Arabidopsis thaliana: one gene and its partners. The protein of the gene in region 3 interacts with the protein of the main gene of each other region in a pairwise test. Each region holds a gene or a part of one and is shown on either strand. Other genes may lie near its edges.

What was found.
Region 1: the proteins of DL1C (region 3) and DL3 interact in a two-hybrid assay, tested with the Arabidopsis thaliana proteins (one large-scale study listed by BioGRID).
Region 2: the proteins of DL1C (region 3) and CHY1 interact in a two-hybrid assay, tested with the Arabidopsis thaliana proteins (one large-scale study listed by BioGRID).

The regions. Positions count from the first base shown.
Region 1 is NC_003070.9:21,890,487-21,897,736, forward strand, and holds the start of DL3 (dynamin-like 3), read left to right. Parts: upstream 1-2,655; 5' UTR 2,656-2,926; coding exon 2,927-3,067; intron 3,068-3,566; coding exon 3,567-3,617; intron 3,618-3,733; coding exon 3,734-3,854; intron 3,855-3,983; coding exon 3,984-4,076; intron 4,077-4,395; coding exon 4,396-4,457; intron 4,458-4,614; coding exon 4,615-4,732; intron 4,733-4,873; coding exon 4,874-5,210; intron 5,211-5,907; coding exon 5,908-6,055; intron 6,056-6,333; coding exon 6,334-6,435; intron 6,436-6,525; coding exon 6,526-6,645; intron 6,646-6,902; coding exon 6,903-6,986; intron 6,987-7,068; coding exon 7,069-7,196; intron 7,197-7,250. Other genes in the region: ZCW7, read right to left, coding at 124-283, 694-835, 911-1,424. UniProt on the Arabidopsis thaliana protein: Putative microtubule-associated force-producing protein, able to bind and hydrolyze GTP. Collaboratively with DRP1A, participates in clathrin-coated vesicle formation during endocytosis.
Region 2 is NC_003076.8:26,375,296-26,383,193, reverse strand, and holds CHY1 (beta-hydroxyisobutyryl-CoA hydrolase 1), read left to right. Parts: upstream 1-3,512; 5' UTR 3,513-3,525; exon of another isoform or gene 3,526-3,576; intron 3,577-3,946; 5' UTR 3,947-4,032; coding exon 4,033-4,062; intron 4,063-4,137; coding exon 4,138-4,218; intron 4,219-4,282; coding exon 4,283-4,351; intron 4,352-4,412; coding exon 4,413-4,476; intron 4,477-4,551; coding exon 4,552-4,631; intron 4,632-4,700; coding exon 4,701-4,784; intron 4,785-4,863; coding exon 4,864-4,948; intron 4,949-5,030; coding exon 5,031-5,116; intron 5,117-5,257; coding exon 5,258-5,379; intron 5,380-5,613; coding exon 5,614-5,674; intron 5,675-5,771; coding exon 5,772-5,870; intron 5,871-5,936; coding exon 5,937-6,038; coding exon of another isoform or gene 6,039-6,062; exon of another isoform or gene 6,063-6,114; coding exon 6,115-6,156; intron 6,157-6,232; coding exon 6,233-6,364; 3' UTR 6,365-6,584; downstream 6,585-7,898. Other genes in the region: AT5G65950 (trafficking protein particle complex subunit-like protein), read right to left, coding at 1-747, 843-1,009, 1,266-1,607, 1,791-1,871, 1,962-2,085, 2,166-2,280, 2,361-2,422, 2,516-2,904; ZWI (kinesin-like calmodulin-binding protein (ZWICHEL)), read left to right, coding at 6,800-6,939, 7,030-7,258, 7,335-7,898. UniProt on the Arabidopsis thaliana protein: Involved in valine catabolism. May be indirectly involved in benzoic acid biosynthesis and in cold signaling and cold tolerance.
Region 3 is NC_003070.9:5,105,286-5,114,544, forward strand, and holds DL1C (DYNAMIN-like 1C), read right to left. Parts: upstream 6,462-9,259; 5' UTR 6,186-6,461; coding exon 6,054-6,185; intron 5,935-6,053; coding exon 5,871-5,934; intron 5,652-5,870; coding exon 5,544-5,651; intron 5,453-5,543; coding exon 5,351-5,452; intron 5,150-5,350; coding exon 5,099-5,149; intron 4,992-5,098; coding exon 4,930-4,991; intron 4,783-4,929; coding exon 4,692-4,782; intron 4,601-4,691; coding exon 4,536-4,600; intron 4,441-4,535; coding exon 4,246-4,440; intron 4,152-4,245; coding exon 4,032-4,151; intron 3,947-4,031; coding exon 3,876-3,946; intron 3,556-3,875; coding exon 3,330-3,555; intron 3,237-3,329; coding exon 3,186-3,236; intron 3,093-3,185; coding exon 2,852-3,092; intron 2,774-2,851; coding exon 2,634-2,773; intron 2,540-2,633; coding exon 2,414-2,539; 3' UTR 2,131-2,413; downstream 1-2,130. Other genes in the region: AT1G14820 (Sec14p-like phosphatidylinositol transfer family protein), read right to left, coding at 1-113, 202-312, 398-515, 603-639, 878-1,136, 1,437-1,508; MAP70-4 (microtubule-associated proteins 70-4), read right to left, coding at 7,130-7,169, 7,257-7,444, 7,540-8,067, 8,147-8,218, 8,327-8,473, 8,578-8,733, 8,840-9,010, 9,117-9,259. UniProt on the Arabidopsis thaliana protein: Microtubule-associated force-producing protein that is targeted to the growing edges of the cell plate during cytokinesis. Also plays a major role in plasma membrane maintenance during pollen maturation. Has a GTPase activity.

The DNA of each region.
Region 1 (7,250 bases), about 17 Mb from region 3:
AACCTCATATGCTATTTAAGAAGCTTACGCAACAGTGAAAACTACTAACTTACCATCTCCAAATTTTCTCAAAATATTTGTGTAAATAAAACCTGATAGTGGTCTTTGCAACATAAAGAATACCTTTTCCATTGAGCGACCACAAAAAGCCTTCATGGCATTCACGAAATCATTGTACTTCTCGAACTGAACCACAATCTTACAATGGAGACCTGATATGAGGTCTCCACTATCCTCATCTGCGTCCTTACCTAGATCATCGTCCTCAGCAACATTAAGATTCCTATAGAGGATTAGTTAATGCAGCGGAACATGGAATTTATGTAAACTATCGGAATTATATTAACATCAGATTCATTGGTAAACAGAATAAATGATCCGAAGAATACTGAGAACACATGGTAAGCAAGTTCAATACAATGATTGTAATTAGTCTTCAGATAAGATTTCCATACAAAATGTCATTTCTTTTGAACTACATGGACAAATACTGTATACTATGATCAAATGTAGATGCATCAAATCTATCCAAAGCAGCACAAAACTACTTAATTTTCCAATAAGCAAGCCATAGATCACTCTCAACTCACATAGTGTCACATTCTTGAAGCAGATTTATGAATGTTCTCTTCACTCCGATTGAAAAAAAAACAATCCTAATCAAGCTGGACATGAAAGATGACAAAATCTTACCTAATTTTCCCAAAGCTAGAGAAGATTGTATGTGTAACCAACATAGAAGGCTTCGATGAAACTCGTGGCTCAGCAAACCATCTTGATGGCACACCTCTAAGTATAATCGTATCAGCCTCTCTCCTTCCTTCCCTTGAATGTCCTGCAAATCACAATCACATCAATTACCACGAAAAAATCGTAAAATCAAAATCCAAAATTGAAGAACCAAGATTACCAAAAGCGTAAAACTCCTCCCAATCCTTCTTCAACTTCTCGAAATCATCTGAAATCGGAAGTACCACACTAAGCTTATACTTAACTCCTTCCAAATTAAGCTCAATACCATTCATCTTCTCCACCAAACTCTTCCTCCAATCCAAAAACTTCTTCTCCAATTCCTTCACATCTCTCTCTCCATCATTCTCCTTCTTCTTCTTCTTCCCATCGAGAAACCCTAAATCGCGTATAAACAACGATCCATGAGCAACTGGCTCCTCACGCTTCCGTTTCTTCAAGTCCTTGTGACGACGAACTACGATGTCTTCCTCCGGAACTGTGACGGAGGTTACGACAGAGTTTTTGAGGTAATCTATTAAGGATCGCTTGAGTTGCCATTCGTCGATGGATTTGGATACGGATGGGACTACTGGGTGGATTGTGAGATTGAGCTTGACGCGTGAGACGAGAGCGAGACCGTTCTCTTCGATATCTAGAGTTTCTATCGGAGATAGCTCTTCTAACGATCGCATTTTTCGCCGTCGATGCAAAATTCAAAATCGCGATTGGCTCTCTCTCTCAGAGTGTCGTCGGCTATTGAGTACAGAGAACAGGAGGATACTGAAAACAGTGGTAAACCAGAATTCCAAATCGGTTATTTCCGGTTCTCTTGGTTTCCAATATTTTGGGAATAAATTGCATAAACGGTCCAAAATAGAGATAAATTCCAATGTAAATTTTTTGAACATTGACTGAAACCATTAATAAATGTTGAACGTTTCATCCAATGCCTAAATATATATGGTAAGGATTCTTATCTTAGTTATGAGTTTTGGCATACTAGGACTGAAGCATTGCATCCTACTGTGAGTTTTGGTGGTTTGTGCTCTTCTGTTGACCTTAGCAATGCGTCCATATAAATTGAGTATGGTTGGATTACTGTTCATACCTCTAGCGAAACATTGCAATTCGCTAGGTCTCTATTGTGGGGTTAGATGGCATGAACCATTAGTTGCACAAATGAACTCTAATGCATATCATAGAGGCTTGTTTTTGGATATAGTTTACGAAATATTGAGATGATATCTTTCATACAAAAACAAAAAATGCATATGATGATGACACTCTTACATACACTTTTGGTACTATCTATCCGCGTATGATTTTAAGATAATTTTTTTGAGCTTTTACTTTAATTAGAATTTAGTGATATACTTGTATGCACAAATTTATACAAGCAATTTATGAATACGGTATACACAAATTTATATACAAACAGTTAGACCAATACCAAAATTTGGTGATATACTTGCAAACCTAGCATGCTAACGAATTTGATAACTTACATGCCTTATCCCATCTAGCGAAACAAATTAGAGAGATTAAACTGTTGGAGATAAATTTAGAACTCGGTTGATCACAACTCAACATTTCGCACTCAAACATTACAAAAATACTAGTCTCCTACATCAGGATTACAAAGTGGTCTTCCGCATTTGTTCATTTGGAAAAATATACAACCAAACAAGCGCATTCGATGATACAAATTCTTGTACCACATTGAAATTCACTTACAATATTTTAATTCGAACAAATTTAGCTGAGAATGTCTTTATTGATAGCAAAAAGTTGTGTTAATTTATATTTTACGCATCCACATTTGTGTGTTTTATGCTTTCACATTTGTAAAGAATTTCTTTGAACAGTTGTGAAAATTTTCAACATTTATGAAAGAAAAGAAAAAACCACTTAATAATTTTCAACATTTATGAAATTTGAAAAATGTGTTAATTACTACGTGTTTATGTAAAGTTATATGACCCGTCTTGCCCATTCTCTCCCCGACGAAGACACACACAGACAAACAAATCCTAGCTTAGCACCGTCGCGACCGAATTCGAAATTCCGGTAACCCAATCGCCGGGAAAATCCACCGCTCGTGGCTACCGATATTGATTCTAATCGGATCTAGCGGCTCCCTTTCTTCGTCCAGATCTCGTACTTCATTCGACCTCGATTCGCTGTGCAAGTTACGATGGAGGCGATCGATGAGTTGTCTCAGCTTTCGGATTCGATGAGACAAGCGGCGTCTCTGCTCGCTGACGAAGATCCCGATGAGACCTCTTCTTCTAGACGGCCAGCTACTTCTCTCAACGTCGTTGCCCTAGGGAATGTGGTGGGTTTTCTCTCGCTTTTTCTGTTTCTGAGATGTGACTGTATTTGGCGTTTGTTGTAAGTTTTATACTGTGATCGAGTGTAGATTTTTGTTGCCATATCGTGGATCTTGTGGATCTCGATGAGGTGTTTTCGAAATGGTCCCGTAACCTAGGAGTTTGGTAGGATGTTTTGTATTCTTCATCTCTTCGTTCGTAGCTTGTTTTGTTGCGTTTCTCTCTTTATTAGGGATTATTTGATTCTATGAGATTCAAACCTGGGAGGTATTACTATAGTAGAGAAGGTTGATGCGTTTGTTATTTGAAACTATGAGAAATCTATTTTAGAAAGTGTATATCAGAACGAAAAGTGTATGTGATTTACTCTGTTTCCTAAAACACTTATCTGTTGGAAGACAGAAAAAATATTGCTATGTGTTTGTGATTGAAACTTCTTAGGCTTAGAAAAGAAAAATTTCTTATGTGAAGACTGAAGTTATTTCACTTTTCTTGGTGGATCAGGGAGCTGGAAAGTCTGCAGTTCTAAATAGCCTAATTGGGCATCCAGTTCTGGTAAGTTGTGTATTGAATTTGAGTGCGCGGCAATTTGTGTATGTCACTATTGGCTGATACATTTTCTTAAAGTAACCACTTTGTGTTGTCCTGTCTACTATGATTACCATGGATAGCCGACGGGTGAGAATGGTGCGACACGGGCTCCTATTATCATTGATTTGAGTAGAGAAGAATCACTGAGCAGCAAGGCAATAATCTTGCAAATTGACAATAAAAATCAACAAGTTTCTGCAAGTAAGAGCTCCCTATGTGCACATATGCAATTTAGCAATGATTTGTGAAGCTATTTCTGCATGTAAGATGCAATGCATTAGATTAATATTTGACTAATATTTCCGTTTTTTTCGAATGTGTGTATTACAGGTGCACTAAGGCATTCACTACAAGATAGGCTTAGCAAAGGAGCTTCAGGAAGGGGTCGTGATGAAATATACCTAAAACTTCGTACCAGCACAGGTAATTCCTTTCTACTTGCACAATCATAAATGGGAATCCCTATTTAATGCAACATCCATATTACCCAAGCCTAAGTCGGATAATGTCCCCTACTTAAGTGAACAGTTCAGCTGTAATGAGTTTTTACCTCTAAATCTAACGCACATTAGCGCTTCAACTTCTTTTGGGTAGAATCTGAAGCTAAGTTGTGAAAATTGGACTATATATCTAAATGAAGATCTAACTTAAATGTTCTCTTTGGAACATGAATTATCACATATCGTTTGTTTTGTACTGGTTTCTGTAATCATCATAACATATTTTTCCCTTTTAATTGCAGCTCCACCACTGAAATTGATTGATTTGCCTGGACTGGACCAGCGAATTGTGGACGATTCTATGGTAAGCTTAGGAACTGCTTGATGCCTTTGTCATCCCCCTAATCCACCTGTCAACCATGGAGAATTTCCACATTTTTTATTCGGCATTCTGGCTGTAGGGCTTCATAGATTCATTATCATTGTCATCTTATAATTTGTTTCTCTCCTCTCTTTGCAAGATTGGTGAACATGCACAGCACAACGATGCTATATTGCTGGTTGTTGTGCCTGCTAGCCAGGCATCTGAAATTTCGTCATCTCGAGCCCTGAAGATCGCAAAGGAGTATGATCCAGAGAGTGAGTATATAGGCACTTTCGTTATACAGACCCTTCATTATACTTCTAAACAACTGGGGTTACTACATTTGGATAGAAACATTGGAACTAAATTTTGTGTATACTATAACCAAAAAAAAAAACATCACTCCTTATTTATAGGTACTAGGACAGTAGGAATTATCAGCAAAATTGATCAGGCAGCAGAGAACCCAAAGTCCCTTGCAGCAGTTCAGGCGCTTCTTTCAAATCAAGGACCTCCAAAAACAACTGATATTCCATGGGTTGCACTTATTGGCCAATCTGTCTCAATTGCATCAGCGCAGTCTGGAGGCAGTGAGAACTCTTTAGAAACTGCTTGGCGTGCTGAGAGTGAAAGCCTTAAATCCATTTTGACTGGTGCTCCACAAAGCAAACTTGGCAGAATTGCCCTGGTCGACACTCTTGCTAGCCAGATCCGTAGCAGAATGAAGCTCAGGCTTCCGAACATCTTAACTGGGTATTTCCTCTCTCCATATGTTTTTGCTTTTATATGTCAAATGAAAAATCGATTGTTTGTTTGCCTATTTTTCTGTACTGGTACTTTAGGGAAGATTTACAATTTTCTCCATCAAAGCCAATTTGTTTTGTTTCTTTGAAGTTGAAGTCGACCTTTAGGCTTAGTTAGCTAGACTTTCCAGCTCCTATCATCATTAGCGCACTTCTCATGAGATATTTTAGAAACCTTTGTCCTTGTGTCTTTCTAATCAACATATACGGACCAGGTCGAAGCTAAGTTTCTGAAAAGGAAAACAAGATTCATATCTTTAACTGATTGAATAGATGATAATCTACCTAAAAGTCAAGAAATTAAACCTCTATGTTGAATTTGCAATGGAGAGGAACGGTGTTTAGTGAATTGGAATAAACCAAAAGGCAAAGATAAAGCAAAAGGGAAAGTTGCATAAGAGGAAATAGTTATCTGAAATTGGATATGTGCCAGATTTATCTGCCATCGTTACTGAGTTCTGAAAATAAGAACTCTTGCTTGCAAGATCTCTGGTCAATGCTCATCATCATCTGTTAAGCTGATATATTACTTTTGTCTCCCAAAATGTGATGTCTATCTTTTGTTTTAGTTTCTGGATGATTATTTAGGGACATGATTTTGGTTCTTATGATAGTCCTGAACTTACAAATTCCTTTGTTACATGCAGACTCCAGGGTAAGTCTCAAATAGTGCAGGACGAATTAGCGAGGCTTGGTGAGCAATTGGTTAGCAGTGCTGAAGGCACAAGGGCAATAGCTTTGGAGCTTTGTCGTGAGTTTGAAGACAAATTTCTTCTCCATTTAGCTGGTGGTGAAGTGAGTAATTTCCTACGTTAGCTGAACCATACTTTAGCCTTTTCATTTTTCTAGTTGTTATGGAAAATGTGTGGTACTGTTTAAATATAGACAATTAAGAAATTTAGGAAGATTGTCTGATATTATCTAGGATTTCACGATACTAATATTGGATCTATATGTGATATGTTTCACGGAAAAGGTTTTTGAATTGCATGTCTGGTGATTGTGCCCGTTCATGTGCTGAAGGCCTTTTTGGATTTCGGTAAATATTTTTCTCTAATAAAAATTTGGTTCAGGGAAGTGGTTGGAAAGTTGTTGCAAGTTTTGAAGGCAATTTCCCCAATCGTATCAAAAAGCTTCCGTTGGATAGACATTTTGACTTGAACAATGTCAAAAGGGTGGGTTTCTGAATTTTCCTGCCTCAAATTGTATAAACAAGTAACGGCTTTAGACTGGAGTGTGACAGATTGATTTTCCAATTGTTTCAGATCGTGTTGGAGGCTGATGGTTATCAACCTTATCTCATATCTCCAGAGAAAGGGTTGAGATCGTTAATAAAAACCGTTCTTGAGTTGGCTAAAGACCCAGCACGACTATGTGTTGATGAGGTGTGTCCATGTTAGTGTTTATAGCTTAACTGGTGTTGTCTTCCTCTTGTTTGAGATGCGTAGCATTGAAATTCAGAAATTTACTAAATAGTGAAATATTGGCTATGGCTTGTCACATGTGGTCTATTCAACACATTTCGTTATGATATTTTAATTCTCCAGATTCAAATTTATTAAATTCCTACTCAACCTTTCCAACCTGGTTGCCTTACCGTCTCATCTGTTACTGAGCTAATATGGTCTGAACTTCTTATTAGGTTCACCGAGTGCTTGTTGACATAGTTTCAGCTTCCGCGAATGCCACACCTGGTCTTGGGAGATATCCTCCTTTTAAGAGAGAGGTAATTATGCTTTTACTGCTCTTTCAGTTGCATTTTTCGTCTTACTAATAGCTGTTTCTTTTCTTAAATAATCGTCAACCAGGTTGTAGCTATAGCAAGTGCCGCACTTGATGGATTCAAGAATGAAGCTAAGAAGATGGTAGTTGCATTAGTTGATATGGAGCGTGCATTTGTACCACCTCAGCACTTCATCCGCCTCGTACAAAGAAGGTAACATCAGCTTCCCTTTTTTTGCTTTTTGGCTGTCATTTCGAGTGGCGTTAT
Region 2 (7,898 bases), on a different chromosome or scaffold from region 3:
GACGCCGAAGCCCACAGAGGCCTCTGGGAATTTCTGATGACAAAGTTGCATGTAGATTGATTAAACTGAACTTCTAGATGATCTATTTCAACTGGAAGAGGTAAATGAGAAAGTAGTGACAACGTAAAAGAGCACAAAGCGTGAGGCTTGATCATTTGATCGTGAAAAGCAACTGAAGCTAGGAGAACAGGTCTCAGAGGACTGACAAGATCAATCTCGAGATGAAGAGGGCTATCAGTGGCTAATTTGAACCCACTTCCTTCGGTAGATGATAACAGCTCGGCTTCACGACAAACAAGAGTAAAAACTTCTTGATGTATACTTTCTCTTCCTGAAATTGTTGCAGGACCTCCAGGACCATAATTTTTGTTTCTTAAGTTCCCAGAATTCTCATAAGATGTTACAGGCAGGGCAACCATTTCAAGTGAAAACTCTACAAAATCTTTCAAAGCATCAAGGTTTCTCGAACACTCTCGCAGGTAACCCAACACCTCCCAGAGCAAAGTTACCCAACCTTCTTGTCTGTACAAGTTTGCAGCAATATCGAAAAAGAATTTTGCGTTGTTGGGATCAGCCAAATCAAAGTACTCCCGGGCTACTTCAAAGGCACAAAGAGCAGCCATCCTCTGGGCTTTAAGGTTGGTAAATGATTCATAAGATCTCTTCAGCCAAGCAATAATTTGAAGGGAATCCTGAACTCTCTTTGCTTCTGAAATTGTATACCGTGTGTACTCTTCATCCGTTATACTGCAAATACATTAGAATTCATACTATTAGAGATGGTGGTAGCATAATTAGTTTTCTTTTACATAGATTTGTGGGATGAATTATGAACAACTTACGAGTGAAGTGTAATAGCTTCTCCCTTCTCAAGCAACTGAGCGAACTGACCCACATAGACTGAAGGAGTAATAGATGCAGAGCTGCTATCAATCTCTTGAGCTATTTCAGACATTGACAACAACAGTTCCAGGGCAGATTTCTTATCCTTCAAGTAATGAGCAGCCAACTGCGTGTAAAACGAAAATTTCCCAGTGGATAAGAACATATTATATTTTCAACATACTGTACCTAGGAACAGACAGCTCAGAAATTTATGAGAAAGAGGACGAAAAATCCAGCATTTGCTTAGAGGTAGGTGTTTAAGTTTATGTAGTATTGTTTTTAACTAAATGGTAAAAGACACAGAAAAGATTTAACACAAAATGCACCACCAAGTTTAGATATGTTCCGACTATGTGTTACATAGAGCAGAATTGACTGACCTGATAATAATAGGCAGGGTAAAACTCAAACTCAGTCAAAGATATTTCCGCAGTTCCTTGGTTTGAGGATGTTAAGCTCTGACCAGTTGCTGAGCTTGTCTCCAGCAACTCAGCAAAGACAAGAAACTGCCTACTCATCCAGTCCCAATGGAGAAAAATAAATTCTGTGGATCCGACAACCTTTTCATATGATGTTTTATGTTGATGAAACCATGTCACTGCTTCTATGAGTTTTCCACCATGCAACAAAAGCGTTGATATCTTGAAATGCAATTGCTCAGCTATGATTTTGATCTCGACCAAGCGTTGTATTGCAGGCAACCTAGTCGATGTCCCGATCATCTGTTTGCATAAACAAAATTGCTCGTCGAAATTGAATGTGTGGAAACCGCAGGCAAAGATATGTAATAATAAGAAAGCAATGACCATATATGCATCAAAAGGAACTTCTTGACTAGAAGCAGAATACATATTAGCGTGACAGATGGGTTGGGAAAAAACAAAATACTTAGAGATAATAAAGACCTCGTGCAAGGAATGGTATGCGTCTTCATAAAACTTCAGTGCTTCACCCCAATCTCTACGAAACTCTGCATATACAGCGACCTAGCAGTCATGGCATGAATGAGCCTTCCTTTTCCCAGATACTTTGGAACAAAATGATTAGACTTAGCAGAGGTAACGAGAAAAGCTTACTTTAAAACAGTAGCGAACATTCAAATCAAGAGAATTGGAACTCCTTTTCTCAATTCGGCTTTTGATTCTCCGTCCTTCTTCTCTGTAATAAGAAAGTGCCAACTCTGCAAAAGCAGAAGCGAGTCTGCAAACATACCGTGTTGAGATGCATTGAAGGAAAAGCCTCTTGTTCTAGGTGCAAAGTAAAAGAGGAGAGAAACATACCTGGAGAGAGAGAGCGTGAGTTCAGAGACTATGCTGGAATTGAAGAAGAGCACGTACTTAGAATCTAATTCTGCCCGCTTTCGCAATGCCACCAGACGATCGTCGCTAATGTCCTCTAAAAACAAGTCGGGAAGGAGTAAGTCACCAGTAGTTCCGAGAGGAAAATGAAAAGAATAATCGGATAAAATGCGCTACCGTGGGGAGAAGACTGGACCACGACAACCACCAGTTTGATGTTTTTGGGACGGATTACGGATCTAGCAAGCAATTGAGATCGCAGTGTTAATTTGAGGGTTTGAAACAAAGGAGGGGAAACAAGGAAACAAATATAAAGGGAGATGAGGAAATACTTGAGGCTGTCGAGATCGGAGCAGACCTGTAGCCATTGAGTTGGATCGCCGAAGATGTGATGTGAGGGAAAGAAGGCGGCGACAAGTGCAGGGACCTTGGTGCGATGCTTAAGCAACCAGTCCCGTTTCAAAATACCGCCGCATCTGGAAGGAATGGGAGAAGCAGAATCGGAGACGCTGAGAGGATCTCTGAAGGAGGAGGTTCGGCTGATCTGATCATCATGAGCAAGGAGGAGAGAGATTTGAGAGAAGTCGGGGAAGGCCAGAGCGTTGATGGGAGGCTGCTGGGAGTGGAGATACTTAGTAATGGACGCGTGTAGCTCCGCGTATCCGAAGAGAGCCACCAGACTTACCGGTGGCGTCCTGAGCTCTTCCGGGTATTCCTCCATCTCGCCGGGGAGTGTCTGAGACTCGGACGCGTTGAATCGAGCAAGGAAGGATCTGACACATTCATTTTACGTGGGCTTTTAACGGGCCTTTGGATAAGGGAATGGACTTGTATAGCTGTCAGATTGTTCATCTGGCCCAGAATATGATGTGAAATACTTAATGGGTTTTCAACGGGCCTTTAATCTTTAAGGGTATGAACCACTGCAGTTGTCAGATCTGATTTAAACTAATGTGGTTTCTAAGGATGTAGTATCATCAGGCCCATTATAAGCCCACTTCTTAAAGATGCATCGACTCGTCAAAAAAATAAAATAATACAAAGAATTCGAATTGGTTGCATATACAGAAACATTGGATTTTACAAAATGGAAGAAAGAATTATTGGAAGAGAATGAGAAGCTGTCAAGCGGAGGAGCGGTTGATGAAGTCAATGCAGTCTGCAATTGCATCGGCGTAGAAAGAGTTAGAGCGACGTATAGATGTGTAATCAAGACCGTCTTCTCTGACCAGCGGAGGCCTTCTGCAGCACCAGCTCCTGAGAAGCCTGAAAAAGCTTCTCACTCTCGCACGCAGTCTCTTTGTCTTCTGCCTCAGCCTAATTCCTCTTCCACTCGGCCATCGTATCCTTGCTCTTTCCATCTTTCAACTCTGTTGCATATGCGTCAGATTGTTGAGTTTTCATGTATATGCAAATTATCTATATATCGAGAGGCGAGGGCTTTCATGTCTGACTTTTAGAAGTGGTTGTTGAGAATTTTTGAAGACTTTTTTAATGATTGATCTGGTGCCCACGTGTCATTTTATGCTAGAGGGAGGTGTTGGTTAGTTGGAAAACTAGCTTCCTAACAAAAAAAACACATGTCTAACGTACTCGATAAAAACATATAATCTTCTCATTCATCAAGCATGTTGCAAGAGGGCTTTGAAATTGAGTTTGAAAAGCAAAGTTCCATTTGCTCTATTAACAAAATAAAGCCCATTATTAAAACCAACAGATTACTATAAGGCCCAATATCAACTTCCTAAACTAAGCGGGTGAAGATTTTGTTAGCCATTAGTGGTAATTTCTGATCCCATTGCTGCTCCTCTCTCCGGAGATACAAAGGCGAATCTGACCAGTAAGAAAGATGGCAGTCGAGATGGCCTCTCAGTCTCAGGTCTCTTTCTTGCGTCTTTAATCCGAATCTACGACGATCAATTCTTCGCTCTCTGAATTAATAATATGATCACAGGTTTTGGTGGAAGAGAAATCGAGTGTTAGAATCTTGACACTAAACAGACCAAAGCAGCTGAATGCTCTGTCCTTCCACATGGTATCGAATATTTCCCTTCTTGTACATGCGTACTGTATTGGCTTAGACTCATTTTTTTCTGTAGATCTCTCGATTGCTGCAACTGTTCCTTGCATTTGAGGAGGACCCTAGTGTGAAACTTGTCATCCTAAAGGTAATCATTATCCTTATCTCTTCCGCTTACACACATTTAGTACTGAATAACTTTGCCACAGGGTCATGGGAGAGCCTTTTGTGCTGGTGGCGATGTTGCAGCTGTTGTTCGTGACATCAATCAAGGTTTACCACCCATTCTTTTCTGTTTCTTACTTTCAGCTTTTATACACTCTTTCTCTATCTTCGTTCGTTGACTAGGTAACTGGAGACTCGGTGCCAATTACTTCTCATCTGAATACATGCTCAACTATGTTATGGCCACATATAGCAAAGCTCAGGTCTCGCTATAATTTCGTTTTGTTTTTGTAAAATCACTCCCGAGTGGATAAACTCATCAATTCGTATAGGTTTCAATCTTGAATGGTATCGTCATGGGAGGCGGAGCTGGTGTATCCGTCCATGGTCGATTTCGTATTGCAACTGAGAACACGGTAATCTTTCCTTAAACATGTCCATGGATGACAAATAGGTCGCTCCAAAATATGCTCATATCTTTCGACTTTCTCCAAGGTTTTTGCCATGCCTGAGACAGCTCTGGGGCTCTTTCCAGATGTAGGCGCCTCCTACTTCTTGTCAAGGCTCCCTGGTTTTTTTGGTAACAGAAGCTATATTTCCTTTTTTTGCATCTTCTTAAAGCCACCAAAGTTTGAAAATGCTTTCTTGTCTTTTTTGTTCAGGGGAGTATGTTGGCCTCACAGGAGCTAGATTAGATGGTGCTGAAATGCTTGCTTGTGGCCTTGCAACTCATTTTGTGCCTTCAACGGTATGAACTTCCTTTGCGTGCGTCTATTTCGTAAGACATTCTGAATTGACTTTACACATCAGATATTGTATAGCTACTAGTGTCAAGCACTATCTGCTTCACCAAGGATTGCTACTTAGTTAGGTTTACTCCTTTCCACAGAGGTTGACTGCATTAGAAGCAGATCTTTGCAGAATTAATTCAAATGATCCAACTTTTGCCTCAACAATTCTCGATGCATACACCCAGCATCCGCGCCTGAAACAGCAGAGTGCTTACCGCAGGCAAGTCTATATGATTTTTATCTCTTTTACTCTTTCTACTAGTATGGTTTTACCTGATTACATTTTCTCGGTTATTGACCATGATTATAACACATTTTTTCTATAATTTCAATTTCGTATTGCTGTCAGGTTTTCAATCGCTCTTTACAGAACTCATTTCTCATCTGATCTTTAATTGAAAATTTATAAAAGTGCAGAGGACAGTTATTTTTTATCTCCCCGTTTGTTGCGCAGGTTAGATGTTATTGATAGGTGTTTCTCAAGGAGAACAGTCGAAGAAATTATATCTGCACTTGTAAGCTTTTCATTTATATATAGAGATGTTGACTTGCGATCCTGAGTTGACTGATTTACCTTTGACAACGCACTCTACCATCATATGTGTTGCTTAGGAGAGAGAGGCCACTCAAGAAGCAGATGGTTGGATCTCAGCTACCATTCAAGCATTGAAGAAGGGTTCACCAGCAAGCCTTAAAATCTCTCTTAGATCGGTTAGTTCCCAGAATGTGCATCACAGGCAATGTTGACAAAGAGCTGACTGTGAGTATATATTTCAGATAAGGGAAGGGCGATTGCAGGGGGTGGGGCAGTGTCTTATCCGCGAGTATAGAATGGTGTGTCATGTGATGAAGGGAGAAATCAGCAAAGATTTTGTGGAGGTTTTGCAAGCTTTTTCCATCTGAAACCGTCTTTGTTGTAGACCGTAGTTACAACAGCGTGTCTTTACTTATGCAGGGGTGCAGAGCCATATTGGTAGACAAAGATAAGAACCCAAAGGTTTAACAAGTCTCTCCATTTGTTATTTGTGGTTGGTAATATGTGACATTGTTGATAACAATATCTGAAATTATAGTGGGAGCCAAGGCGACTGGAGGACATGAAGGATAGCATGGTGGAGCAGTACTTCGAGAGAGTGGAACGGGAGGATGATCTAAAGCTTCCGCCAAGGAATAACTTGCCTGCTTTAGGGATCGCAAAGCTGTGAAGTGGAGAAGGTGATGGAGCACTATTGTTTACGTCTGTGGGAAAGAAAAAAGAAAATAAATGTAACAACACTTGTGTTGAATAGGACTTGCATACATTACATAAATCATTATTGTATTTGAGAATTGACACCAAAGCAGCAGAGCAGAATTGTGTTAAGATTTGTTAATGGTGTTGGAGGCACAACCATGGCAAACGGACGTGGAAGCACGTCTATAGTCATTGTTCATTTATTTGATTGAGATTCCTCCTTGGTCTCATCTTCTGAAAACGAAAAATAATTAGAAAATCAGGTGAATCGTGAAGTATTGAATGAGAAGAGGCAATTAAAAATCTCCCGTGACTCTCGTCTCCCCATCTCTCTCTCTCCCTCTGCCCAAATTTCTGGGGCAAATTTGTTCATCAGATCTACTACAATCTCTCTTTTTCTTCGGGTATGGAGGGCCAACGAGGCAGTAATTCTTCGTTGAGCTCTGGCAATGGCACCGAAGTCGCCACCGACGTTTCTTCTTGCTTCTATGTTCCCAATCCCTCTGGAACCGATTTCGATGCCGAGTCGTCTTCTCTTCCTCCTCTGTAAGTCTTCTTTGAATTTTTAAAAACATTCACTCTCTTGCTGCTGTCTCTGTTGATCCTTCTTCTTTGAAAATTTGAAAACATTCTTAGTCTCTCGCTCTGTCACAGCTCCCCAGCTCCTCAAGTGGCATTGTCAATTCCTGCGGAGCTTGCCGCCGCCATTCCCCTCATCGATCGCTTCCAGGTTGAAGCTTTTCTGCGGCTAATGCAGAAACAAATCCAGTCTGCTGGGAAGCGTGGCTTCTTCTATTCCAAAAAGTCCTCTGGCTCCAATGTCCGCGAGCGCTTCACATTTGAGGATATGCTTTGCTTTCAAAAGGTTTTTCTTTCCCCCCCTTTCTTCCCCATTGACAATCCATTGACTGAATATGTCTCTCTCCCCTTCCTTCCTTCAGGATCCAATCCCCACATCTCTCCTCAAGATTAACAGCGATCTCGTCAGCCGTGCTACCAAGTTGTTTCATCTCATCTTAAAATATATGGGTGTTGATTCATCTGATCGATCTACGCCTCCCAGTTTAGATGAACGCATTGACCTCGTTGGAAAGCTCTTCAAAAAAACTTTGAAGCGTGTTGAACTCAGGGACGAACTTTTTGCCCAAATCTCCAAACAGACTAGACATAATCCTGACAGGCAATACTTGATCAAAGCTTGGGAATTGATGTACTTATGTGCCTCCTCTATGCCTCCTAGCAAAGATATCGGTGGATATCTATCTGAGTATATTCATAATGTCGCACACGATGCAACTATTGAACCGGATGCTCAGGTTCTTGCTGTTAACACTTTGAAAGCTTTAAAGCGCTCTATCAAAGCTGGTCCTAGGCACACCACACCTGGTCGTGAAGAAATTGAAGCCCTTTTGACCGGTAGAAAGCTCACAACCATTGTCTTCTTTCTCGATGAAACTTTTGAAGAAATTTCATATGACATGGCTACCACAGTGTCTGATGCTGTT
Region 3 (9,259 bases):
ACATCTTGGATTGCTGTGAGCTTAGCTCGGCCACCGTACTCTTCCGGTAAAGCATCTGCTCCGATCTCCTCCTCGAATTTTCTCTGTTCTTCTCCATCCGTAACTATCACAATCTATGCAACAGCAAAATCATAATTTATGTGATTCGTTGCTCAAGAACCATTAGAGATAGATACATCAAGAGGAGATTAAAGATCAAACCTTTTCCTGAGTTGCTTTCTCTAGAAAACGGCAGACGAATTTCCAAACGGTCACGAAGAATCCGGGCATATGCAAAATGTAGCATTTTGCAAGGCGTTCCGGGTAGTAAGACTAGAGAAACATTTTCCAAATTTAATAGACAGGACTTCTTTTTGTGTGATAACTATATTGTTTCAGGAAGAAGGGAGATGCTTACTTGTAAGAATTGAAAGCCAGTGATCAATCCACGAGCATCAAGGTTCTTGTATGTAATGTTTGCCAGATCAATAACGGCTACTAATTTCTCACCTCCAACTTCTTTGCCATTGTTGCCACTGAAACATAAAAACCAAAAAGCTTGTCTCACAACCAACTAACCGGAAGATTATTGAAGTGTTTTGGTTTCAATAATGTGTAAACACCTTGCGATTGTTTTGTCTAGCGCATAAACAACAAACTCTGCAACATCAAACAGATAAAAGATTAGTTCATAGATAATTATCGCAAGAATCAACTCAAGGAAAACACATAGATGGACTCAAAAAACTTCATTCATTTGAAGTCAAATGAAACTACTCAATAATTAGAGAACCAGGAAAGAAGCTGATCAGTTCTATGAATACAAAAGTCACTGAAAGTCAAGGGACAGATTATTTCCAACGAAAGTAAAGGTCAGAAGCAAGTGAGAGGTGATTACTCTTGAAGTTAGCTGGATCCTTAGAAGCAAAATGCTTAGAGGTTATGACAAGCACCAATGGGTGTCCGGATTTGGTCGGACCCTGAAGACAGACCTTTCTGAATTCCAATTCATCCTGCACTTCTGACTCAGGGATGAATCCAGTTGGAGGAACCATGGAGGCTCTCCATTTTTGCCAATCTACAAACATCTTTGCTGCCTTGACTGGGTCCATTGATCTTGCCACCAGGAACCTCATCAATGTTGGTTTGTCATATCCCTTTTCAGAGGAAACAACAACAACAAAAACCATTGATGAGATTTTCTGATTATGGATTCACTTTTACTAAACTGTCTCTACTGTTAGGGTTTCTGATGGGAGGCTCAAACCTAATCAGACAAACCACTATGACGAGAATGGAGACAGAGTTTTAACAGTGTAGCCCATATAAAACCCATCAAAATCAAATGACAGATATTTCTCATTTTCTAACGAGACATTGTCAGTGAAACTCATGAAACGGCCAAAAGATGCAAGCTTTGTAAACTGTAATGAAACTAAAGCGTCGAATTAGATTACCTCAGTAGAAGAAGAGAGTTTCTCGACCGATTTTCTCAACTGGGTCAAGGCAAGTTCTTGGCTTTCCTCCATGATCTTTGGCTCTCTCAGATCCTAAAAAAATCTCACAGAGAAATAAAGAGAGAGCCTTTTGTGGTCCGTACAGACGCACGATAAAGTAAGTTGAAAAAGTAAAGAGCTTTGATGTTGACAAAGACCCAGAAGCCACAGGAAGAAGAAACAGACAAAGTATTGGGTACTTGTCTCTACGGTAAGTGGATAGAAATAACTCAATAAGCCTTTCCCCAACTCGCTGCAATTAATGGGCAGCTGGAAGTTGAAGCTCTCTCTTTGACTTTTGTTTCTACTACTTTGACGATTTAAAACAGCTGTGATGATTACATTGCTTTTTAACTCCTAAATCCCGAATCTTAAGGCTTACTTAAAGTTCTTTTAATCATTTTTCTGATCAACCATGTGAAACAGGCTTTGTTAACGGTTATACATTTAGCTGCTTGTTCTTAATTGAGCATTGGAAATTCAGTTCTAACGATTTTTATTGTTTGTGACAGAAGAAAAGTCCTTTAGGTTAATAAGTTGTTCTATCTACATGAGATGTACATTAAATTTTCAAGAAAGATTAGCTTCTTTGTCATCTATTTGTTTTTAAACTTGAACTGGATCCAAATACAGTAATGGCACAAGTGGAGACCAATTGAATAAAAATCAAAGATTAGCTTCCTTTTTGTCTAATGTAAAGAGTGCGACTTCAAAATATGTCTTAACTGTTCTAAAAACCAGTATTCAAGAATCGAAGATACACACCAAAAAAAAGTGGGAAAGTTGTGATAGAAATTAGCGACCCAAGAAAACATGAGTAGTCGCGTGTATGTTTGTGTAGACTGGAAGTTAGAACTCCAAACATATCTATTATAATGCAGTGTGCCCACACGAACAAAGAAATTAACAATATAAAGAATATGTCTTAGCAAACCCCCTTACTTCCAAGCCACTGCATCGATGTCGTCTCTAGCTTGTTTGTAAAGCTCTAGCCGTTTAGCTAAGGTTCCTCTTCGTTCCATCAGCTGTGGGTCTTCGTCCAACATAGCACCCAGCTTCTCCTTCTGCACCATCATTTTTCTTAAATTTATTCTCGATTTGGGCATGGCATTTTCTACAAGGTAACAAAATAATCCAAAGGGTAATAATATAGTTTACCTCTTTCCTGCCAACTTGAGCGTAGAAGAAGTTGAGAAGCGATCTCTTAGCTTCTCTAACTTGGCAGTAAACGACAGCTTTGGGAAGAGAGTTTCTCAATGTGTCGCAGACCATGTTTATGTATGCACTCACGTTGGATCCTGAATTATCCAAAGTCAACAAACAAAGACTTGATAATGTATCATTTCTAAGTAAAGGGAGGCGAGAGAGACACGTACCGATCTTTCTGAAGTGATTATCGGAGTAGGGGTCTGCGTTTGGTGCTGGGGCATTCCTTGGGTTTGGTTTCTCTTTCTCGGGTTCAAGATGGAGTTTCCTGAAGAACTCAACCGTGAGGTAGCTAGATTCCATATCCACCAGACGCAAAACCGTTTTCCTGCTTTCGTCTCTGAATCTTTCAAGAGCTTCATTTGCAGCAGCTGCTATATCGCTTGCTAGAGTCGGGAAACGCTTCAGTTCCTGAAAAAAACAGCAATGGTATGTTAGGACTAAAACAGAGCGTAAAGAGCTAGGAAGAGTTCTCAAAACCAAAGGCATCTTGTCAGTTCTTACCTCTGTTTCTGAAATTGACTTTCTGACCAGCTCCTTCAATACGAAATGCACCTAGGAAATATCAAACAGCAATCAAGAATATAGTCAATTTACTAAAACTTAAGTCTCAAAAGTAATGCAATCTAATAAATTTTGGAAGCATACTGCATCGACAGTGGCTTCAGCTGGTCCTTTGAAATAGCTTATGGATCCATCAATGAGCCTTCTGTATCCTTGTTCAGGAGCAATAAGATGCGGCTGATAACCATCTGCTTCTGAAACAACCTTCTGAACATTTTTGGTAGACAGATGTCGATCAAAGGGAAGTTTCTTTAAGGCTGCTGGTAATTGATGGTCGAAAACTCCATAAATTCGGTCTCCACCAGGTCGTCTGATACAAACAACATAATGACTGTCAGAAGACCAACTTTACCGGACGTACATTGTGAAATTATGTGAAGCATTTTCTGGCAAACATCTATGAAAAGGTCATTGATGTAATTTTTTTACTAAAACTGCACATCCTTAGTCTGGAAACTGACTAGAAGGTAAGCAAAATTCATTATAGAGCAGCACATTACTCTGGAAACGACACTATCTCTTAAAAAAATTCATAGACTCCAAGTTGATCATCACAGTCGCAATGTAATAGTACACCAACAAGAAGTTATAAGCTTTACGAATAAGAAGTAGAATAACTAAATCACTTACCCTCCATCCAAGTGCTCCTTAAAGACACGATCAAATGCCCGGCAGAGTTCCAAAATTGTGTAAAGTTGGGCCTGAAATCATATATTTAGTGAGTGACTAACCATACGATTCTGATGCAACTCTGAATTCCAATTACTTAATGGTTTAAAATCTTACTCCTGAATCTACTGCAATGGGTCTCCCAATCCTATCAAGTTCTGCATTTATCTCATCGATGCTTTTGTTGATCAAAGCAACAATACTGGGGATTTTCTGCCTGATAACAGTCTCTAAGTGCTAATAGAGAGGAAAACAAAGAAGGAAGAAAGTCAAAGCTAAGCATTCAAGCTTTAATTTAAACGAGATCTGTGCAAGTAAATCCAAAGGGTACCTGAGACAAGAGTTTTGCTAGATATTCTGATCCCATTCTACTGGCTAAGTGCCCGTATTCAGGGCTTGTTTCAAAATATTCTTGCTCTTTTCTACGTGCAGCAATCATATCGACTCTCTTATTAATATCAGCTTGTGAACGATTCACAATTCCAACCCAGGGATGTTGCAAACGGTATGACCTTCCCTCAAGAACCTTCATCAAATAGGTAGAGGAGGTGTCACAATATATTAAACAAGTAACAGAATTAGTTGACACCCCAAGGTGCAGAAATCAAGAAAGACGCTTACATCTAGACAATCTGTTCCTTTATCCATGATATCAAGCTTGGTTGCAACACCAAAAGTCCTTTCGCCTACAGAAATATATTAGAAGGTTAAGAAAATGTTGTGGAGTGTAAAAAGTCACTACTTACCAGTTATTAGGAAACTACATTTAGGTCGTACCTGTAGGATCAACTTCTCTAGCAAGTTTTATAGCATCTGAGGTAGCAATATCTTGATTTGCTGGAGAAATAGCCAATATGATGCAATTTGGCTGCAGTTAAAAGATTTTATGGATAAGCTTCCAGAGTTGACATTATAGTGAGTGATGATGATCAAATGCATTCTTCTGTTCAACTTGGTTGGAAAAGTTGAAAAGATTGCCGAAACCGTCTCAGTAATAGCTTAGAGCAAGACTGACCTTTTCAACATAAGACCGGACCATATTTTCAATGTCTTGGACAATACTTTCCGGTTGTCCATCTACACGAATAATATTCATATCAGTGACTAGTTTAAGCACAAGATTCATATCAGTAACTAGTTTAAGCACAAGCTAAGCTACTGGATAAAAAATAGTAAACTCTTACCTACAGCGACCTTGGTCAAACCCGGAAGATCTATGAGCGTCAGATTAACAACTGTAGAGAAAAGAGTAGAGTGAGAAATCAAAGTCACATGGAAGAGGTTAGCAAAATTGGAATCTTCAAATCTAATTGTACTACTCGTTATCTCATTACAGCTGGTATCAAACTATCAATAATATAGGAAATTTACGGTGTTGGTTTCTGAACTAACTACAATAGGAATGCATAACAGGAAATGTGGTCTTAAGCACAAACCATTAGGAGAATATATGCTCAGCTGAATTGGAATGTTTGAGATTTGTTTTGACTTCCCAGTAATACGATCAGTTTCATCCTCAATTTCTTTCCGCACAGCAGCTGAAAAGAGAATAACACTTAGATTAGCCCGACATGCCTTTGTCGATTTCACTGTTTCCAGCAATTAGCGTGAAAGATTCAATCAAACTACCAAAATCAGCAAATCTCTTCTTAGGAGCATGAAGAAACTCAGCGTACTCAGTTGTCCCGTCTTCAGTCTTATGAAGTTGCAACACCAATGGCCTCCTTGTAACGATACCTGATAAAATCAAATGGTATCAATTTAGATGGTCTCCTTCTTCAGTCTCATGTTTTTCGAAGTAGTCAAAATGTTCATGTAATGCTCTCAAGATCACAGAGCTTCGCTAAATTGTTTGAAATCGAAGCAACTAATAAGAGCACGAAATTCCGAAAACCTAATTTCAATTCCAAACATCGAAGACACTAGACAAAATTGCTTAACGAGAGGTAAAATTACCAGATCCACGAGGCAGAAAATCTCTTCCCACAACACTTTCTAGAACTGAAGATTTTCCGGAACTCTGATCCACAATATCAACCAAACAAAAATGATAAATCAGAAACGTGGAGATTGAAGAGGCGAGAAGTGAGATCGGATCTTAACGTAGAAATGTGTATATTCAATAGAAAGAGATCAAACCTGGCCACCAACGACAGCGACGGTTGGGAGAGCTTCCCAAAGCGACATTCCTTCACCGCCATGATCTCCGAGGACAGTACACGCCCTCTGGATTTTGTTTATCAGACCTATCAAACTTTTCATCGTCGCCATGTTTCCTGGAACGTATCACAGATCCAGAAAATCTCTCACCGACGCTCAGATCTAGATCTAACGAAACGAATATAGTTATCGGAGGATGGATTTGAAACGTCCGGTGAGTTGTTACTCTCTCGCGGTAGCAGGAGGGATTGATGAATCTGGGAGAAAAGAGGAAAGAACCCAATGGAGCAGAGAACGGTAATGGGAAAAACAATTTCAAACCAAAAAAGTAGGACTACTTGCTCAAATATATAATACTTTTGGACCGAAAGTGAAAATATATCAAATCCCACGTCGCTAAACGCGTACCGGTCAATGATACGGAACCGGTTCAATTCATGTGGTTATGTTCTTTTTTTCTTTCTTTTTTACTCAAAAGTCAAAACTACTAATTATCATTAAGACCTGATTACATTACAAATGTACTTTTTTCCCAATAAAGTCTGACTACAAATGTTGTAAATATCCTTCTCAAATCTCAATGATGGTGTTCTTATAACTCATGTGGTGTTCATTAACTCTATCTCTCTCTCTTTTTGTATATAGCTTTTTTGGGTTTTACCAGTTCTTTTTTTGAACACCAAGAAGAGTTCTTTTAAAGATAAAAAATTAGGCTACCAATATAATCGAGGTTAATAAGAAAATTAACTAAGAGGAGAGAGTGACACACACAAAACAAGAGAGTAAAAAAGCTTAAAATGTTGAACAAAACAACCCTACCTCTACTACTGCAGTACTACTATACATAACGCAACAGAGTAAGAAATATATCAGCTAAGTGAAGTCAATGTCTCCCTTTACCTTGAATGTTGGAATGCTTTAGAGAAACACACATCGAATCAATCAGGTACTTTACACGATTATCTCTTTCGGCTTTTGAATCCCTTCTCTCAATTTGGTACAAGAACCTTAAGGCAAGCCACAGAGACCAACCAGTGATTGATCGAATCAGTTTGTCACTGTGTGCTCCTCGTCATCCCGATTCGTCCAGACACTCTACCAAATGATAAAATACATAAACAATAATGACATCTAAAGGTAATAATAAAGCTTATTGTAGTTGATATGATAATACATTAATACCTTCCAGAAAGTAGCTGAGCTGTGTTTCCCTTTGAGACCGAGAGACGTCTGGTCTTACTATCTTGTTGTCCTTTATCAACAACACGCATTGCAGCAACTTCTTTCCCCATTACAGCTACTTCTCTTCGCATCTTCTTTGCCTCAACGTCCATCGCCTTTGTTAATGTTTCAACCTTCTTGGCCAACATCTAAATATACACAACCCATATCTTTAGACTTATATTATACAACATTTCATATAAAGGCGGCAAAGAACAGGAAAAAAGGCCAAACACTAGCAAACCTCAATCGCTTCGTCCTTGTCTCTCAGGCTCTGATCTTTTTCATGCGCCGCTTTTCTTAATGTTATGACCTCTTTCTGCAGCAGATCGTACAAGACACCTGGGACGCTATCATTATTTGTTGCCTTGTCAGCTGATTCTTCTTCCCCTTTTATTGAGCTAGGCGATTCGCCTCTGCTAGTTCCTTCAGAAGACTTGTGGTTCAAAGGAAAATTCGATCTCGGTCCATTTATTAGCACTTTGCTTCTATCCAATGATCTGGTGCCCCCATCAAATGATCTTGATGTTCCTTTCGCATGCTTCAATACAGTGCTTGCACTAGCAGTCAATGATCTCAACTGAGAACTTGGTGTTCTCTTAATCAGCGAGCCATTTGATGTAATTTTTGGACTTGTTTCAGCTCCACCAAGGGATTGTCTTCGAGTAGGCCCGTTGCTCGAACTTCTACCAACAGATGTGCCTCTGCTGCTGCTGCTCGTAGGCCCCTTTAAACTCTCTTCTAACACTCTAAGCCGCAGTAAAAATTTCTCCTAAAAATAAGTAAAAGCAGCAATTCCTCAGTTAGGAGATTAAAAAAAATAAGATGGTGTCCCGCAGCTATGATTCTACCTTCAGCTGAGCTTCAGATTTTGCAGCTCGGTCAGCTATGGCAAGTTTGTCGCGTAGTTGTTGCATTTCTCCCTGTCCAAACATAACGGTGGTGGCAATAGTATAAGTTAATCTCCGTGAATATGAATCACAATTTGAAGCAGCAAGAGAATTTAAATATTAATATGTATCAGCAATGACCTGCAAAAATCTACGTTCTTCAAGCCACTGCCTTACAGGCATCACTTTGTCATTAGAATCTTTCCATTCGTTAGCTACAACAGTAGCAACTCTGTTTGCATTTACCTTCGCACGGGCCAATTCCCGTTCAAGGATTTTCCTCTCTTCCTAAGGAAAACACAAAACACCACAATTACGATCAGTACGAGACCAAAACACTAACAAGAAAAACAGTAAGTTATTGAGGTACTATAGAAGCATATGAAATATACATTCATTTCTTGGAATTTCCTTTGGTAATCTCTCACTGCGTTTGCGGCTGCACCACCAGCAAGAACAGCTTCTTCTAATTCCCGAACACTCTGCATAAGCTTTTCAACTTCTGCAACCTTCTGTCTGTGCATCTTGTCTATAATTCTATTCTCTTCCTATTTTAACCAATGTATCAACAAATAAGGCCACCACAGTGGTAAGAAAAGGAAGAGATACCCTATTCTGGTGTTCCAATATGTAAAAGAAATGATATAGACATACCTGACAAATTTCAATCTGTTTCATCAATTCTTGGTTCTTATTCTGGAGATCATCAACCATTGAAGCCTTTGCCAATGCAGACTGAACTGTCCTTTCAGCGTCAAGCAAAGCTGCTTCCTTTGATTTGGTTAGGCGGTCCAATGATTTATTGTCGTCTTGAAGTTTAGCAATCTACCAATCAAAACATGTAAACCCATATGAGAAAGCTGTTAAATGTCCCGTAAGTTGTTGAATCGAGCTATACAAAGGTAATTCTGGTTCAAAGGAAGGAAAATACTTCTTGTCTCGAAAGTTTCAGTTCAGCTTCTAAAGGGGCAAGAATAGCTTCAATTGGAGGCATGTCATCATCCTTTTGAGCAGCATGAACCCTACGAAGAGAAGCTTCTGCTGCAAACTGAGCTGCCATGGAAGCCTTCTTTT